2 linked regions of the Tamandua tetradactyla genome follow. The protein of the gene in region 1 interacts with the protein of each later gene in a pairwise test. Links are inferred from orthologs where the notes say so. Each region holds a gene or a part of one and is shown on either strand. Other genes may lie near its edges.

Evidence for each region.
Region 2: the proteins of ADRB2 (region 1) and KCTD13 interact in a protein complementation assay, tested with the Homo sapiens proteins (2 studies listed by BioGRID and IntAct, with this or other methods). The link is inferred for Tamandua tetradactyla from reciprocal best matches to the Homo sapiens genes ADRB2 and KCTD13.

Annotation. Positions count from the first base shown.
Region 1 is NC_135346.1:29,579,965-29,589,595, forward strand, and holds the start of ADRB2 (beta-2 adrenergic receptor), read left to right. Parts: upstream 1-4,858; 5' UTR 4,859-5,077; coding exon 5,078-6,334; 3' UTR 6,335-9,631. UniProt on the Homo sapiens protein: Beta-adrenergic receptors mediate the catecholamine-induced activation of adenylate cyclase through the action of G proteins. The beta-2-adrenergic receptor binds epinephrine with an approximately 30-fold greater affinity than it does norepinephrine.
Region 2 is NC_135349.1:24,452,052-24,461,980, reverse strand, and holds the start of KCTD13 (BTB/POZ domain-containing adapter for CUL3-mediated RhoA degradation protein 1), read left to right. Parts: upstream 1-5,983; 5' UTR 5,984-6,165; coding exon 6,166-6,415; intron 6,416-7,155; coding exon 7,156-7,325; intron 7,326-9,929. UniProt on the Homo sapiens protein: Substrate-specific adapter of a BCR (BTB-CUL3-RBX1) E3 ubiquitin-protein ligase complex required for synaptic transmission.

The sequences.
Region 1 (9,631 bases):
AATTCACCTAGTATAGTCAGCTGTTCAGAAAGCTTTGCCAGCAGCTCTGCACTATTTTATGGTTGCCAAGGTGATTGTAAATTGATTGTTTGATGACTTATTCTAGCATCATTCCAGGTATTGATGTTAAGTTGAGACATGACAAACCCAAGCGTGAACATAAAAGACCTGTCATATAGTAAAGGAGGACTCTAGATCCAAGCGAACCAGGTATATTTGGACTGGAAATGATTCTTTAAGAGAATCTCCCAAAAACGTAAGGACAGTCTTGGGGAAGAGAGAGGAGACTTGTGTTAAGTGGCCTCAAGGGGGCAGACTTAGGATCCATGGATAGAAGCTATAAGATGATGGGTTTTAGTTTACTACCTAGAGAGCTGGAGAAATATACACCTAAGAAAGAGCTTGGCAAGATGGCTCTGTAAGATTGTTGGTGGATGCATAGCATAAACAGCTGACTAGACTGTGAGACGCTTCATTCAAAAACCACTAACACACCATCCAGCCCTGTAATTCAATGATAATGGTAATTTTTAGAATCATTCTTTTTTCTTTTCCAAGGAGCCAAGTTATATCCCTTTTTCAATTATTTTTCACAGCAATTTAACATAAAATAAATTATTGTTATCCGCTTTCAAAGGGTCCCTCCACAGATATGGCTTGATAAGACAAATAGGTTTTCTTCATATATATTTTGGTTCAAAATAAAATCACAGGGTACACAGGTCGCTCAGTGGTAGAATGCTTGCCTGCCATGCGGGAGACTGGCTTTAATTTACAGCCCATACGCTAAAAAATAAAAATAAAAAATAACAATAATAACTACCTCTTTTGCAAGGACTCATGCTAAGCATTTTATATAATTTTATCTCATTTAATGCAAATTTAATGAGATAATGCATAACAGAGGTGATGTTATGCACAGACATTTAAAACAATCATTTAGAAAGAAATCTACAAATGTTTCTCCTCTCAAAGGATCATAAAGATGGAAGGCATCTGGTCTAAACCAAGACCCAGGATAAGATGTTCCTAAGCCATGCAGTTATGGGAGGGATTCATTGTCTGGCACCACAGAGCTCTACTCCTGATAGGTAAATCAAAATGTGTTGTTACTCTCTGTTAGGCAGGAAGGAAAGGACACATCAGTGTCTTAAGGGACCAACAAAAGTTGTAACTGGACACTATCAATCACCATAAAAGAGCCTGCTTTTTCTTACGTCAAATAAAGGTGCGTTTAGTCTACTAAGAACTTTCAACTGAACCATTAACTGTCTAAAGCCTCAAGCACAAAAAACAGTTATTAGTCAAACTCCTCTGCTGGGAAATGAAACGGCAGCAGCGGGCAAGTGAAACGCATTGGTCAGGAGCAGATCTGGACTCTTAATTTGCCCTCCCACCTTGGACTTCTCCTTTCTGCCTTTCAGTTTCTTCAATTGCAAACAGATGAGAATAAACTAAATTAGTAAACTCTTTGCCATTCCAACTTTTTCTAGTCTCGTGATTCTAAAAGGAATCTAGGAGAAAAGACTCTTGGCGAGAAGACAATATCTTGGAATCGCCTCCAGTTTGGCAATGTAGCAAAGAGACTGTACTCCTAGCAAGACTGATGGGCAAGGCCTGGAACTTCTTAGTTTACATAGCACCTTTCCCTTCTTGATTTAAGTGTTTGTGGATTTTTTTTAAAGGTATTTCCCAAAATATTCAAAGATAAACATTTAAGTGACTTATGTATAAATCTAGATGATCAATTAGTGTTTGTCTTTAGTTTTTATTGATGTTGTTCTTTTTTTGTATCTGAAGGTTAAACACTATGCTTATTTATTCCATAGTTTCACAAACAGGAAGGAGGTTTTAAATGGCTTAGTTCCACAATTCATGGTAGATGAATATTTTAAGAGAACTTGTTGCATAACAGACACTGCCTCTTCCTAAAATGCATCACACCAGAGCCAGTTTTGGAAAACACAAATATGGGGTGGGTATATTTTGAAAACTATGTGAACATAATAGATCCTTAACTAACATTTGTGGCTATTAGGGAAAATATTTGTTTTTTTTTTTCAGGCATCTTTCTTGTCAAACCAGTTTCTACTATTGAAGGAGATTAAAAGGGACATGTAGGTTAAATTTTGCTCCTGGGTTTTACTTCTAGCGTAAACACCAAATTACTTTTGTCCTAAAGGATTTTATTGTTTAGGTACAGGAGACTAACAGTACACGCTAATCTATATCAACTTGATTTATAATCCATATTTGTGTGGCATTTATACGTGCAAAAGCACCCTCGTATTTATTGGTATTATATCATTCGATTCTTACTCAACTCAATGGAAGTGATTTTATTTGCCCCTTTAGAGATGGAGCAAATCAGGCTTCAGCTTTGTGACTTGCCTAAGGACAGTGAGTTAGAAAACTCAATGAATACATGACTCTGGAACCTGACTATCCTAATTCCAATTGCAGTGCTTATTCCCTGTCCTCCATTCCTGTGTGTAATGATGCAGTACATTGAAAAGACTGGAAGATGAGTTTTAGAATCAGTGCGAGAGGCAGGAATCAAATCCTATCTCTCCATGTGCCCCCCACAGGAAAGCTATTTGAGCTTCATTTGTGAATTAAGCTAAAAATAGTAACATCCCCCCACCAATGGACTTTGGAAAGGATTAAATGGAATAATACATGAAAAGCACATAGCAGAATATTCTATAAATGTCAGCTGTTGTTATATTATCATATAATCTACAAAGTATGTTTGGTTACACTGCTTGAAGCACTTTGTTGTTCAAAAACCGTTAATATATGTGAAAATCAAACCCTGAAAATTAATTTATTCTTAGCAGTAACATCATATGTCAGATGCCAAAGGAAAGCATTTCATGTACAAAAGACTTTAGTTTTAAGAGTTGGCATGATTTTTTAAAAAGCAGTTTTACTCACACATCACACAATCCATCCAAAGAGTACAATCGATGGCTGTCACAGAATTGTGCATTCATCACCACAATCAATCTGAGAACATCTTCATTGCTCCAAAAAGAAAAATCCCACCCCCTTATACCTCCCTAATATTAGCAATGGTGACTTAGTTACAACTGATGAAAGAATATTAACTATTAATCCATACTTTGCATTAGTTGTGTTTTCCCCATATACCTCCCTATTATTAACAGCTTGTAGTAGTAATGTAAATTCGTTCTAGTTCATGGGAGAAATTCTTACATATGTACTATTAACATCATCCACAAAAGGGTTCACAGTGTTATACAGTCCCAGGTTTTATCCTCCAGCTTTCCTTCTAGTGGCATACATTACCCTAAACTTCCCCTTTCAAACACAATGACACCTATATTTCAGCACCATTAATTACTTTCACAATAATGTGTCTCCATTGCCTCTGTCATTTTTCAAACATTTACAATCAAGCTTATTAAAAATTCTGCACAAATTAAGCACCAGTTCTCCAGCCTCTACCCTCATTCTATCTCATCGTGGTATGATTATTTTAAAAGAAGATTTATATTTTGCTTTCTATAGTTTCAAATGTATAGAAACTATAGTTTCTAGAGTTTCAAATTTTCTTAATGTTAATACCTTCTAAGTAGTTTGTGCCATATGAAATTACCATTTTTGAACGTAAAAATGGGTAATTAACGGCAATTTCATATGGTTCAACACCACAGATTAACAAATCTGGGGTTGATGAAAGGTTTGTCGTTGTTATTTTGTTTTGTTTTCGTTGCAATGGGGATTCCCAAGTTGACATTGAACTGAAAAGTATCTCAGTTTCAACTTAGGTCCATTCAAACAGGTAATGAGGGAGTGATGCCACACTCCCAAGAATTAAAAACAAAAGCATAAAACTTCCTCCCTCCATCCCAAACACAGGCATGAACACCCCAGCTCCCACGGAAATCCAGAGTGAAATTATGTCTCAATGCCTGCAAATTCCCAAGGAGGGCACCAAAAGGACTTGACAGTGAATGCACTGAGGAAATCGGCAGCTGTTGAAGTCACCTCCTGTGGTCTTGCCAAATGTTTGAAAGGGAATATGGTGTGTGTGTGTGTGTGTGTGTGTGTGTGTGTGTGTGTGTGTGTGTGTGTGTGTGTTTGGGGGTGGAGATGAGGGGAGCGTCATTTATATCTGCTCGGGTTGAGGGGCGTTGGGGAGTTCCTGGACGAGGAGGTCTGTGTCTGCGTGGCTCTGCAAGCCTCCAGGCGAGCGTCTGTGCGTGCTGCCTTCTTTCCCTCCCCGTGCCCGTGCCTTTGTGCCTCTGGGTGAACCTGTGTTTGTTTCTGGCCGCGTCTCTGTTGGACAGGGTGACTTTGTGCCTGTCTGCCTCTGTGCGCGCGCGCGCGCGCGAATGTGCACGTCGGTGCGCTGGACGGGTGTGTCTCGGTGTCTGTGGTTCCGTATAAGTCTGAGCATGTCTGTCAGGGAGCATTTGTGCCTGTATATGCGTGTCTCGGGGGGCGCCCTCACCTCTGTTCCCGCAGGTGCCCGTGCGCTGCCCAGTCCGCACAGGCGCCCGGGACCGACAGGTAACAGCCACACCAGAGCCCAAAGCGCCTGGCTTCGCCGGCGAGCACACCAGCCCCCGCTTTAGCCCCCTGGGACCCGCCCGGGGGAGCCGGGAGGGAGTGATGGGCCCGCCCGCCGGGGAGCAGCTGCGCCCCGCCCGCGCCAACGCCGGGAGCCCGCGAGCTGGGAGGTGGCGGGGGGGGGGGGGCTCGGGGGGGGACGGGGCGGGAACGCGAGGGCTGCCCGCGCGCCATTGGCGGAAAGTTGCCGCGCGTCACCGGGAGGGCAGGTCCCCTAAAGTCCAGTGCACATAACGGGCAGGGCGCACTCTGAGGCGGCTTCTCCAGAGCGCGGGGACGGGACTGACGGGGACGGCGAGCCCAGGGCACCCCACAAAGCTGAGTGTGCAGGACGCGCCCCCGCCAAACCCACCTCACGGCCGCTGAATGAGGCTTCCGGGCGTCCTCCGGTGGCCCGCAGCGCCCCGCCCGGGGTCCGCCCGCTGAGGCGCGGCCGGTGCGCCGGCAGTCAGTGCACTCACCTGCCAGCCTGCGCGCCATGGGGCAACCCGGGAACAACAGCGTCTTCTTGCTGGCGCCCAATGGAAGCCAAGAGCCGGACCACAACGTCACGCAGGAACGGGACGAGGCGTGGGTGGTGGGCATGGGCATCGTGATGTCCCTCATCGTCCTGGCCATCGTGTTTGGGAACGTGTTGGTCATCACAGCCATCGCCAGGTTCGAGCGTCTGCAGACGGTCACCAACTACTTCATCACCTCTCTGGCCTGTGCTGACCTGGTCATGGGCCTGGCGGTGGTGCCTTTCGGGGCCAGCCACATCCTCATGAAAATGTGGACATTTGGCAACTTCTGGTGCGAGTTTTGGACCTCCATCGATGTGTTGTGCGTCACGGCCAGCATTGAGACCCTGTGCGTGATTGCGGTGGACCGCTACTTCGCCATCACCTCACCGTTCAAGTACCAGAGCCTGCTGACCAAGAATAAGGCCCGGGTGGTCATCTTGATGGTGTGGATTGTGTCAGGCCTCACCTCCTTCCTGCCCATCCAGATGCACTGGTACCGGGCCACCCACCGGCAAGCCATCAACTGCTACGCCAAGGAGACCTGCTGTGACTTCTTCACGAACCAAGCCTACGCTATCGCCTCGTCCATTGTGTCCTTCTATTTGCCCTTGGTGGTCATGGTCTTTGTCTACTCCAGGGTCTTCCAAGTGGCCAAAAGGCAGCTCCAGAAGATTGACAAATCCGAAGGCCGCTTCCACGCCCAAAACCTCAGCCAGGTGGAGCAGGATGGGCGGAGTGGCCATGGACATCGCAGGGCCTCCAAGTTCTGCTTGAAGGAACACAAAGCCCTCAAGACTTTAGGTATCATCATGGGCACTTTTACCCTCTGCTGGCTGCCCTTCTTCATCGTCAACATTGTACATGTGATCCAGGACAACCTCATCCCCAAGGAAGTATACATCCTCCTGAACTGGGTGGGCTACGTCAATTCCGCTTTCAATCCCCTCATCTACTGCCGGAGCCCAGATTTCAGGATTGCCTTCCAGGAGCTTCTGTGCCTGCGTAGGGCTTCTCTGAAGGCCTGTGGGAATGGCTACTCCAACAGCTCCAACAGTAAGACTGACTACGCAGGGGAGCAGAGTGGATATAACCTGGGGCAAGAGAAAGAAAGCGAACTGCTGTGCGAGGTCCCCCCAGGCACAGCAGACTTTGGGAGCTGTCAAGGTACTGTGCCTAACGATAGCATTGATTCACAAGGGAGGAATTGTAGTACCAATGACTCACTGCTGTAATGCAGTTTTTCTACTTTTTAAAGGCCCCCCCCAAAAAAAAACACTAAAGAGACTATTTAACTTGAGTGTAATAAATTAGAATAAAATTGTATAGAGAGGTGCAGGAGGAAGGACATCCTTCTGCTTTTTTATTATTATTTTTTTAAACTGTAAAAAAAGAGAAAACATATTCGAGTGATTATTTGTTTCTTGTACAGTTGAGTTCCTCTTTGCATGGAACTTTTAAGTTTATGTCTAAAGGGCTTTCGTCCCAGAGGACCTGGATCTGCTATGTTTTGGCAACTTTTCCGTGTATCTACCTCATTGGCCAAGTATTAGGGGTGAAATATTGCTGCTGGTAATTTGTATCTGAAGGAGACTTTCCTTCCTGCACCCTTGGACTTGAGGATCTTGAGTATCTCGGACCTTTCAGCTGTGAACATGGACTCTCCCCGCTCCTTTTATTTGCTAAACGGGGTATTGTAGGCAGGGATTTGAGGGGCAGCTTCGGTTGTTTTCCTGAGCAAAGTCTAAAGTTTACAGTAAATAAATTGTTTGACCATGACTTCATTGCACCTGTTTCTCCAAAACCCCTTCACAGGAGTGTTATTTTCTCCCCCACTGGAAACCACAGGTAACTATTTGTCATAACTGTTCAGTGACTTAATGCAGAATGATGCAGACTTAATGCAGAATACAAAATGACATGTGCTGATTGCTTAACCCTTTCGTTTGCCTTTGAGTCTGCTGCTGCTGCAAATCTGTATCTCTCCTAGCACTCATGCCCCCAGATCAGTTCTGCATGCTTCTGGCATAACTGGGCTCGTCCTATAATTATTATTCTGTTCTGTTACATCAGAAACACTGAATCATAGACACAGAGTTATGAGTATATGTTTTGTCCCTCCACACCCCCCCACCACCCACCTTCCAGTTCTACTTGTTTAGAAACTGCCTGTATTTATATCTTTGCCGTATCTTATAGTGGAGATCTTTGTACTGCATCAGGACTTGGCATTTTAGGGATGAATAAGGGAGATGTTCTTGAGAAAAAGCTGCTCAAACATAGCCCCATAATTCCAAGAGAAAATAAAAGGGCATTGCTTATAGGTAGAAAAAGCTGAAAAATAGCTGATGAATATCTCATGACTTAGAAATAGGGTTTTAACCCCTTCCCTCCTTCTTTTCTTCTGTCCCCTTGTATAAACCAAGGTTTCTCAGTGCTGGCACTATGGGCACTTTGGGCCAGATAACTCTTTGTCTTCTTTGTGGTGAAGGTGGGGGTGGGGGAGGCTGCCCCATGCACCTTAGTATGTTTAACAGCATCCCTGGCCTTGACCCACTAGATGCCTTAGTCCTGATGACCAAAAAATGTCTCCAGACATTGCCAAATGTGAAATCTTCCCAGGTTGATACCACCAGTATAAACTTTTAAAACACAAACAGATTTTTAGATTCTGTCTATTGTACCACTTTATCTTGGGTGGTTTTTCCCGGTTCACCCAGTTAGTGCTAGGCCCTAGGCCAGTGAGTGGCTCTTTTCCACTATATCGTGCTGCCTTCTGAACTCACTTTCCAGCCCTGCTCCTGAGTGTGAGACACTAAGAAGGACTGTACAGAATCGTTTGGAAGGGTTTATCAGTGTAGGCAAGGGCTGTGGGCCGTTACTGCCTGTTTGTGGAGAGGTTATAGTACTGCTAAGAGGCACAGGAAAGAAAATCACAAAAGTAAACACCTTCCTACCCTCCACCCCCCGTGGCCTCACCCCCACCCCTTTCTATTTTTGCCTGTGTATCTGAGCCAGAGCTTGGCTCAGGTCAGATGGAGTGAATTGTCCTCCCTGGCAACACGAGGCCGCAGGATTCATTGCCATTTCACTCGTAATGAAGCTGACTCCATATCTCTCTTCCTTTCTGTCCCAGCCAAGGTCCCCAACCAGAAAAGCATCAGCCTTCTCTTTCTCGTTAGCTCGGTGACGGAGTGCCTGGATGAACGCTGAGCTCTCAGGAGAATGTCAGGCACCCACGTATTTGGAAGGCACCCGGAAATATTGGAGAGTTTGTGCCCCATTCAGCGCTTTCGCTTTTTCTCTCAGGGTTTTCATACCTATTATCACTTCTTCTCCTGCTCTGAGTCCTATTTTCCTCGTTGCTTCATCTCTAGCTGATTTCATACTCCCCATAGCCTCACAGGGTCTCAGACTTGGAAGCACCCGTAGACAGCATTTGACATCTGAGGAGACCGAATGACCCGCCCAAGGTAAGAAGTCAAGGATGTCCACTAAGCCAGGGCTAACACCAAACAACCTGTGGTTCCAGGAACCGTGTATTCTCCTGATCACATGGTGTTGTGGGATTCTCCTCTCACTCAGTCGGGGAAGTGTTTCCCTGGAAGCTGTAAAGCAACAAGTTCATTTCAGTGGTTGTTTTTTGTTTCTTTAGAGTCCTCAACTCAAAATTCAGGGAATAAACAACCTGAAATGGGGACAACAGAAAGAATTCTTCATTTTATTCAGCAAGAATCCACTAAGATATCCTCTGCATTTAGTGAAGCTAGGAGATCCTTTCATTCTTTATGTCATACCAGAACTGTCAAGCTACTCCAAGTAGAAGTTTTCCATTGTCTTGTTTCAAAAGAAGTTGCAGACTTTTCGGTCATCATTTGTAAGCTCCATGGACAATAAATATTAATAATGCCAGTGTTGTATATATACTCTTTTAGTTAATATAATTTCAGTTTAGTGAACATAATTTCAGGTTCCCAGCTAAAAGGGCAATTTGGCCATTTTTCTTGTCCTTTTAGGAATATTTTAAATAGAGCAACGTTGGTTTTAAGGCTCTTGACAAGCAAAAATGTTTTACGCATATGTCAACCCCTTGTTTTCTAGCTCCTTTTGTTTTGCTTTGCCTCTCTTTGGGAGCTTTTCTCCATTTCTCGCTGTCCCTCTGTTTGCTGGCAGGTTGGTTACATAAGGGTTGTGTTGGATTCATCATCATAAAGTTTTCTTTGCCTGGACAGCAAGTTCTTTGAGTCTGTCAAGTGAGAACCTTATCCCGAGATGCAAGCTGACAGGTGTGTGTACAGTGACAGGATAGGGTGGGTCTTCCAGCTGAAGTAATCATTGGGGGAAGTAATCTGGGGAGAAGAGGGGGCTGGGAATAGGAACTGTCTTTACAGAATGCTTAGAATGTTTCTGATGGAGAACCTACTGCCAAATGGAATTTAGACAAGAACCAGTCGGAAGGGGAAGGGGATAAGGGGGTGGGGAAGTATTCACGGTGCCCCTGTTGTGTGCAGCATGAGAAAATTATAGGCGTC
Region 2 (9,929 bases), on another chromosome or scaffold:
AGATAGAAATTAGGAAAAAGAACCAAACAGAGCTGAAGGCCACAGTAGCAGAAATTAAAAATTGCCTAGAGGGGTTCAACAGCAGATTGGAGCTGGCGGAAGAAAGAATCTATGAACTTGAAAACAAAATGATCAAAATTATTCACTCTGAGGGGCAGGAAGAAGAAAGAAGAAAAGTGAACGGAGCCTGAGAAGCTTGTGGGACACCAATAAGTGTACCAGTAGAGGCACCGTGGAAGTTCCAGAAGGAGAAGAAAGAGAGAAAGGAGTAGAGAGAATATAGAAAGAAATAATGCCTGAAAGCTTCCCAAACATAATGAAAGACAAGCAAATACACATCTAAGGGAGGGTTTAAGACATTCCCAGATAAACAAAAGCAGAGGGAATCTGTCACTTCTAGACCAGCCCTACAAGAGATGCCACAGGGAGTTTTGCAGGAGTAAGGAAAGGACACGAGATGACTGATCGAAGCCACAAGAAGAAATAAAGGTCTCAAGTAAAGACAATGATAAGGGTAAACAGAAATGCATGTATTAATGTATTTTTGACTTTTGAAGTACTTTTTACTTCCTACAGGATCTAAAAAAGGGAAATGCATAATATGTAACAATAAATCAATGCTCTTGGACTCACAATGTATAAATACGTAATTTCTGACAAGAACTACATAAAGGTAGGGGGACAGAAGGGTATAAGAACATAGTTAATATATGCTATTGAAGTTAAATTGGTATCAAAGGAAAACAGATTGGTGAGATTTAGGTTCTTAAATTTAACCCCCATGGTAACCATAGAGAGAAAGTATCAGTGAACATTGAAAATTTGCAAAGATGGAAAGTAAAGTCCAGGTTACCATGAGTAGGGGGAAGAGACAAGGGGGAGTTAATGCCATGTGAGTATAGGGTCTCTGTTTGGGGTGAAGAGAAATTTCTAGTAATGGATGGTGGTGATGGTACTGCAACACTGTGAATGTGATTAATCCCACTGAATGGTATACTTGGATGGGTTTGGGATGGAAAGTTTTCTGTCTCTATAAAAGAGAGTGAGAGAGCATCAAGGGATTGAGAAAAACCCTAGAATGAGCTGAGACTCAGCATCAAGGGATTGAGAAAAACCCTAGAATGAGCTGAGACTCAGCATCAAGGGATTGAGAAAACCTTCTCCACCAAAAGGGGGAAGAGTGAAATGAGACAAAGTGTCAATGGCTGAGAGATTCCAAACAGAGTCCAGAGGTTATCCTGGAGGTTATTCTTATGCAATAAGTAGATATCACCTTGTTAATCAAGATGTAATGGAGAGGCTGGAGGGAACTGCCTGAAAATGTAGAGCTGTGCTCCAGTAGCCATGTTTCTTGAAGATGTTTGTATAATGATACAGCTTTCACAATATGACTGTGTGATTATGAAAACCTTGTGTCTGATACTCCTTTTATCTACCTTGTCAACAAACGAGTAGAACATATGGAATAAAAATAAATAATAGGGGGAACAAAAAAAGAGAGAGAGTGAGAGAGAGAAAGAAAGAAAGAGAGGAGAGAGGAGGGAGGGAGGGAGGGAATGAGGAAAGGAGGAAGGAAAAACTGACTAAAGCAATAAAGACAATAAAATGCAACACATGATATTGGATGGGATCTAATAATGTAGAAAATGCCCAAAAGGACATGATTGGGACATAAGAAAAAGTTGAAATATATAATGTAACCTTTACATCAATGCTAAATTTTTTTAATATAACTGCACTTAAGGTGATTACATAAAGGAATAGCCTGTATATTCAAGGATTATAGTGCTTGCAACCCACTTTCAAATAGTCCAGAAATAGATTAGATAGATAGAATGATAAGGCACAGGTGGCAAAATGCTGAAATTGATAGATCTGGGTATCTGGGTGGGTGGGGGTATGCTGGATTTCTCTGTATGGAGTTTGTATTATTTTTGCAACTGTCCTATAAATTTGAGATTATTTCACTATAAAAAGTAAACAAAACAAAACAAAACAAAAAACACTGAACAACTCAAATATCCATCAATAGATGACTAGATAAACAAAATGTGGTATAGCCAGAGAATGGAATCTATTATTCAGCCACAAAAAAAATGATATTTGATACATGATTGATACATGCTACAATATCAATGAACCTTGAAAACATTATGCTAAGAGAAAGTAGCCAGTCACAAAATGTTACATATTGTATGATTTCATTTACATGAAACATCTGGAATCCACAGAAACAGAAAGCTGGCTATTGATTGCCAGAGGCTTGGGGGAGGGGGCAATGGTGAGTGACTGCTTAATGGATACAGATTTCCTTTTCTTTTCTTTTTTCCATACCTGAACACTTTGTTGGACACAGCTTAGGAGCCAGGGCCTAGCAGGCCCAGCAGACTGCCCTGCAGGTCCCATGCCAGCAGAGCTCAGGGGTAGGGGGTTGCATCCAGGGAAATCTCAGGGCCGGGGAACCTGGTAAGGCAAAAGTCTACTAAGATTACTATATAGTTGGGAGAGGAGAGCTGCTGCACAGGTCACATCTTTTATTAACAAACATCTAGTGAAGAGAAAAATGACAACTCGAATGCAGCCGCATATACTGAGCACTCCAGGACAAATGGGTGGGGGCACTCAGGGGGCCTGGCGGGGGATGAGTGGATCCAGATGTCCAAGGCCTGCTGTGTGTGTGGTGGGGGGCAAAGGGCAAGGCAAGGCAGGAAGCCTAAGACAATGCACACTAAGACACTGCACATTTGCAAGACCAGCTACTGAGGGGCTGCCCGCCCGGCGGCAATCTGCTTTTTCTGGAATGAATTGGGGGTGGTCTTTACATCTTGTGGCTGGTGGGCTGGGAGAAGAGCTGGGATGAAGGCCACAGCGAGACTGGAGAGGCCACGCTGGCTGGTGCAGAGGAGGGATCAGGATCAAGGATGGGGGCAGCTGGGCCAGGCCCCACACTCCGGCTTCCCCACATTGTCATTGGCAAAGGTACCACCAGGCTGCTCAGCCAGCACCCAGCTAAAGGAAGCTTCGGGTGACAGTTTCCATCAGGGAGCTGGTGAAGCAGAAGGCCTCTTCGCTTCAGGGACGCTCTTGGCCATGCCACAGGTGGCACTCAGGGTGTTGAAGAGCCTGACAGCTGTGGCATCCATGATGGGCTAAAAAGGAGCCCTACTCCAGGTCAGCCTTAGGCTTAGACATGTCTTTGGATGGGACTGGGGCGCGTGTTCAGTGGCTGAGAGGGAGAACAAGTTCAGGTGGGCACCCAGAAGTGGCAAAGTTGACCCTGCCTGGGTTTTCTTTTGGGGTGATGAAAATATCTTGAATCTAGATAGACCTGATGGCCGCACATTTTGAATGTATGAAATGCCACTGAATTGTACACTTTAAAATAGATAATGGTTAATTTTATGTTCTGCGAATTTTACCTCAATTAAAAAAAGAAAAGCTAGCACTGGAAAATCCCCAAAGTATGGATATGAAGATGAATATCTCCTATGTTAAATCAAATAACCTCTTTCTTTGACAAACAAGATCAACAAACTTCTCATGAAGGTTTCTCCCCTTTCTTTGTTCTAAAGTATCTGTCAAATGAACATTTTTCATGTAAAAGTTCTCCAAAATAGCCACTGCGATTCCAAGTCGTCCTTGGTGAACTAAATTGTGCCAGTTAGAAAGTAAAGGCTACAAGTTAATGTAATCGTGAGAAGACATGAAGGAAGGAGGAATTTGGCCCAGTTTTAGGCTGCAACAAAGGTTCATAAGGATGACACTGGTGCAACCTTTATCTCAGGAACTTGGCCAAAGGCCAGTTGTCACTGCTCAGGGGTCAGACAAAACCTCCTGATTCTGAGCAGAAGAAATGAAACAAAACAGTTCTCAGGGCCTCAGACAAAACCGAGGAAAATGTCCTTATAAGGTTTTTGAAATAGTGATCCAAGGCAAAGTTTATCCAAAGGACACTGGTTTGAGGATACCTTTGAAATTTTGTAGCCTCTGGAGCTGATCAGAGGACAGACTTTATTGGCCCTTAGTTGATGGAGCAATTTGTCTGTTTAATTCTGACAATGAATGAGACTCTGGCATGCAACCCCATTCCGTGACCCCTCAGTGGCTGACATCCCCTAACCTCTTAGAGGGAAAAGTGGTATTCAGTCCCCCTGAGATAGAGCAATAATAGCAGGTCTGTGATGCCCTTAGAAGTCCAGGGCTGCTTGCGTGCTAGGCTACCTGGCTCAGTATGTGCCTAAATTTTGCTGGCAGGTTTTTGACTATCCATTCGCTGTAGTTCTTTCCTTTTACGACCAATGTTCAAAATACTAGACAGACCATAGGAGCAGGTATACAGGGTAGAAAACAGTTTCACTAAAGGAAAAATATAAATCTGACCTGATGACAGAAAGTTCAGGGGCACCTGATTCCATGGAAAACAAACAAAATGAATCCAGTGCTTATGGGTCTCAACAAAATATTCAGAGCTCAATTCAGCAGGAACTTACCTTCCAGCTGTGGGGAGGGTGGCCCCTCAAACAGGTAAATAAACAGGGGCTCTTACATGTGCACTCTATTATTTGAGTCGTGAGTTGCAGTCAAAAGCAGTGTGGGCTTCAGCTGACTCTCCCTGGATCCTCCACTTCTGACAATGCCCTCCAGCTAGAAACCACCAGGAACACATCAGTAGTTGAGTAAGAGAGGGTGCACATCATGGGGAACCATGGGACATCTCAGCAAGAAATGTTAGAAGGGACGTATTACAGGAACTGGGCTTGTGTTATATGAGTTTCGAGGAGGATTCAAGAAAGTGGGATTTTGCTTTGAGTTGGATATTGTCAGGAAGTGGGGATAACTATTGGTTCTTAATAATTTTTATCTAGAAGATGGGAGAAATAAATCTGGGCTAAAGCCGTAATTGCTTTAAAAAGCACTGTGGAAAAGGGAAGAAGATTGTGTGTTTGGTCATTTTTGTGGCTTGGACAATGTTTCCACATTTGTGTTCAGACACGTTTAGAGAATGGTCTTTTTCGAGATCCAGAGGGTAGCCTTATGTGATATTGGCGTTGGGTAAAATTTTATATTCACCCATCTGTGAAGGCCAGGCCAGTTCCTAGCAATCCTGAGGCCATGAAGGGAGAGTGCAGACCAGCTCCCAGTTGTCAAGGGCTGCTTTTCTCTTTTACACCAATTACACTTGAAAAATCAGAATTGGCAAGTCCTTTTGGTAAGAACAGGAACTCTAGGTCACCAGAGGCCCCATCATCACTAAACACCTCGTAAGTGCCCTATTTCAGTCATTTACACTCCCATCTGGCTCCGCAGGCATTGAAATTTGCATCCCCTCAACAAGGAGAAAAGGAACCAACCAAGCCTAGAGAGAAATGACCTGCCCGGTGAACTGGTGGAAACTAAAACTCTAACTCTGCTTTTAGTTTCCTTCAGCAAAGCTCCCAGACAGACATTCTGGTAGATTGTTGAGTTCTGCTCCTCCTCACCACGCTTTCTTTTCAACAACGTGTTCTTATTTCTCTTTTGGGGATGGGTGTGCCTTTACAGCCACCAAGTGTCCTGGCATGATCTGGGATGCTAAGAAGTCTGCTCAGTTGTTCCAGTCACCCTGACGTTTTTTTCTGCTCCGCAAATACGCCCAGCTTGTTTCTGCCTGAGGGCTTTTGTGTCCACCCTCTACCTGGAACTCGTCTCTCACACCTCCATCTGGCCCCCTTCTTCTCGGCTTCAGCTCAGCATCACCAAATGAAACCCAGGGAAGCGCTCTCAGTGCAGAGACCCAACCATGGTACATGGACGCCACAGTCCACGTCAGGCGGGAGCATCAGCCCGCCTCGTCGGGATGGTCTTGGGGACTCGCCGGTGGCCCCCGGAACCCGCGCGACTCCGCCGCTGGCTCCAAGACCACTGCGCATGCTCCTTACTCAGGTCCCCTAACCCGCCCCCTCCCCGGTCAGGGGGCGGGCTCTTGACGCGCGTGCGCAGTTGCTCGGCCCCGGCTTTCGGGCCGAGCGGGCGCGATGGGGCTGTGGGTCAGCGTCGCCGAGTAGCGGCGGCGTGTCGGCCTGCCGAGCGAGCGGTCTGACCCGAGGGCCGGGCTCCGGGGTCTTTGGGAGCGGGACGGAGGGCGCGGAGAGAGCCCGGGATTGCCGCCCGCCGCCATCACCCGACATGTCGGCGGAGGCCTCGGGCCCGGCGGCGGCCGCGGCCCCGGCCCCAACCCTAGAAATACCCAAGCCCTCGGGTCTGGAGCCTTGCTCCGCCGCCTACGGTCTCCAGCCGCTGACCCCCAACAGCAAGTACGTGAAGCTGAACGTGGGCGGCTCGCTTCACTACACGACGCTGCGCACCCTCACGGGGCAGGACACCATGCTCAAGGCCATGTTTAGCGGCCGCGTGGAGGTGCTCACCGACGCCGGAGGTACGCGCGCCGCCCCCCGGCCCCTAGCCCCCCAGGTCTCCCCACGCCCCTTCTGTGGTATCAGTGTCGTCAGCTCATTCTCGCTCCTCATCCCATCTCATCTCCCCTTTCTCATTCATCATCTCCCTCCTCCCGCGATCCTTTACCCCTAGCGATTAACAATTTTGTAGCGTCCCGTCCCTAACTCTCCAGGCGCTGTGGTAAGTGATTTAACACTCTCCCACGCTTTACCCCGCAGCTCCAAAAAATGTCCAAGTGGGACACCGAAATGTGGGGGAGATTCAAAGTGGTAGATAAGGATTTTGACAGCAGGAAATAAAAATTTGAGAGGGGAGCTCAACCTTCAACAAGTGTTTGTAAAGTGCTGGGTAGTGCGTTAGTAAAGGAATGTGACAAGACCGCTGCCCCTACGGAGTTCACACTTCCAGGTGGGCGGTGGGCGAGGGGTAACAAGATTGGTTAGATGTTTACTGATAAGATAATTCTTTAAGAACTTTCTCCTGGGATCCCTCCTAACCGCAGACTTGGGAGGTAATTATCTCTTTGTGGCTGGAAATGTTAAAAAGAAGCGTATGGGAATGAAGAAGTTTTAAAGGGGTTTTCTTGGATAAGGCAGAGGTTTGGGGCAGATCAGTCTTCAGACTTTTCTTGTAGCCTTGAAATCCTGTTTTCATCAACAACTTGGTAGCTCCAAGGCCGGCAGCAAAACCATCCTTCCTCCCACCCGTCCCCACCACCAGGTTGGGTGCTGATTGACCGGAGTGGCCGCCACTTTGGCACAATCCTCAACTACCTGCGTGATGGGTCCGTGCCACTGCCTGAGAGCACCAGAGAACTGGGGGAGCTACTGGGTGAAGCACGCTACTACCTGGTTCAAGGCCTGATTGAGGACTGCCAGCTGGCCCTGCAGGTGAGGGCCTCTCCCGGCCTCCTGAGTCCCACTCCTGTGTCCATGTCCCAGGGAGAGCTGCCCTAACAGTTAGATATTAGCACTGAAAAAAAAAAGATGTCAGTTACCTCCTGGAGAGAGAATTTGTCCTCTTCATCCCTGCTGCCTCACATAGTCCTCCTCACCATCTCAGGCAGGACTATTGCAATAGTTAAATGACTGCTCTTTCTGCTGGCTTGCTGTTCCTACTCAGCCATTCCAGCTGATATAGTACCACCCACCCAAGTAATTATCCTTAAGCATAACCCCAATCTGTTCTCTCATTTACTCAGAAATACTAGATAGCTCTCTATTTCACCAAGGGAAAAAATAATTTAATTTAATTTAATTTAGAAGATAATGACCTCCATGATTTTGTCCCGGGAGGCAACTTGGTTTCTTTCTCTCTCTCTCTCTCTCTCTTTTTTCTTTCTTCAAAGAAATGAAATCCTTTCCTCAATGAAATCTCATAGAAGCTGGGCTGTTTCTGATAAAACAGGGTTGAAGGTTCCAGAGCCCTTCCTGTTAGGCTCCACTTCTACCCAACAGTGGCCCTTGAGGCCTCCTGTGGATCTTTTAGGGTTCCAAGGAAGAGTTTGCAAAGCACAGCTGGAACTTAAGGGTTCAATGTCAGCTCTGCCATACCTGCTGACTGACCTTGGTGAATCACTTCCCATCTCTGACATTCTGTCCGCATGTTCCAAAAGATAAGGAATTTGAAAAGAAGTACAGTGTGTAAGTTTTACATAGAGGCTTTTATTCTGTTCTGTTTTTACAATGTTGAAAATGTTCTTTCTTTTATGATACAATAGTAATGGGAGATTATAAGTTTCTTTCTTCCTTTTTTTTTTTTAACATGGGCAGCCTCCGGGAACTGATCCTGGGTCTCTGGCATGACAGGCGAGAACTGTGCCACTGAGCCACTGTTGCCTATAAGTTTCTTTTTTAATGCCCTTACTTTATATATTAAAAAGTGCCAACTGTTATCTTGGGGGATACTTATTGGTTCTTAATTCCAAAGTATACAGTCCCTTTGGACAACAGCTATGCTTTTCAAACTTTTTGATGGCATCCCACAGAAAAAAATAAGACATACATGTACATGACTGAAATGAGAGTTTTATAAAATAGTGCTTACTTTTAGTGAAATGCACCCTGATATATTTTATTCTTTTTTCTTAAATGCTGGTTGGGACCCATTAAACTGATTTCATGACCCGACCCGTTAATGGATTACCAGTTGCAGTTGGAAAACACTGAATTAAATGATCTTGGTGACATATTCCTGCTCTGTAGTTTTGCACACCCACTATGTGTCAGGAGCGATTCTGCTATCTGCTTGACTATACGTTTTATACTTCTGTTTGACATAAAAAGAAACACGAGGCAGGTTGGGTGACACATCTCAGGTCAAAGGGCCAGTAAGTGGCAGAGCTTAGACTCAACCCCAGGTTATCTGACTCCCAAGTGCAGTGCCTTTTCTTTTGTGCTCCAGCTGCCTCTGAGACTCTTCCCATCCCCATCCCACACATCTAGCATTTGCTTGTTTGTTTAGAGGTGGTGTTTTTTATTTAAGATTTAGATATCGAGGATTGAGTTCATCCAGTTCCTCAGTAAATGGCAGTTAATCGTCTTTGGTCCATGCAGATCTTTTGTTTTTATTTTATTTTCCCTTCATGCCAAATCCCCTTCCCTGTTCCTATTCTCCCCATAGACACCCATTCCAATTCTGATGTTTTGATACATATGCTTAGATTATGTTTGTATATATATGCTTAGATTATGTTTGTACTCTTGAGAAGGTGAAGCATTGTTTTGCATATGTATGTGTTTGTGTTTTCAATTTCCATAAATGACATTGAGCTGTGGATTGTGTTCTGTTTCCTAGTTGTTTTTTTTTTTTTTTTTTTTAACATGGGCAGGCCCAGGAATCGAACCCGGGTCCTCTGGCATGGCAGGCAAGTGTCCTTGCCTGCTGAGCCACCGTGGCCCGCCCTCCTAGTTGTTTTTTTTAACTCAACTCTTCAAAATGTATTCATGCTGTTCTTCGCTTCTAGTTCTTCGCTTCTAACTGCTGCCCAGGAATCTATGGTGCACGTTCATCACATTTCACTTATACCTTCCCCTGAGCTTGGAGACCTAGATTGCCTTCCACTTCCCACTCCTGCAAATGGTGGCACAGCAGGTATCTTTGTATATGTCCACTCATGGTCCTATGCCAGGGTTTCTTGTGTTTGTAGATGGGAGTGGAATTACAGGATTGCAGGGCACATACATACTGCGTTTCATTAACTAGCATCATCATATCATTCTCCACATTGGTTGTAGCAGTTTATACTCATCAGCAGTGTATAGGGATCCCATTTCTGCATATCGTTGACAACATAGCATCATCCAGCTTCCTGAATTTGCCAATCTGATGGGTACAGAGTGATCTCATTTTTATTTGCATGCCTGGTTACCCATGAGGTTGAGCATCTTTTCATTTCTGGTTTCTTTCTGTGAACTCCTTACCAAACTTTCTACTAAGTTTCTTGTCTCTTTTTTGTGACTTTGTAGGAGATCTTTGCATATTTTAGTTCGGTC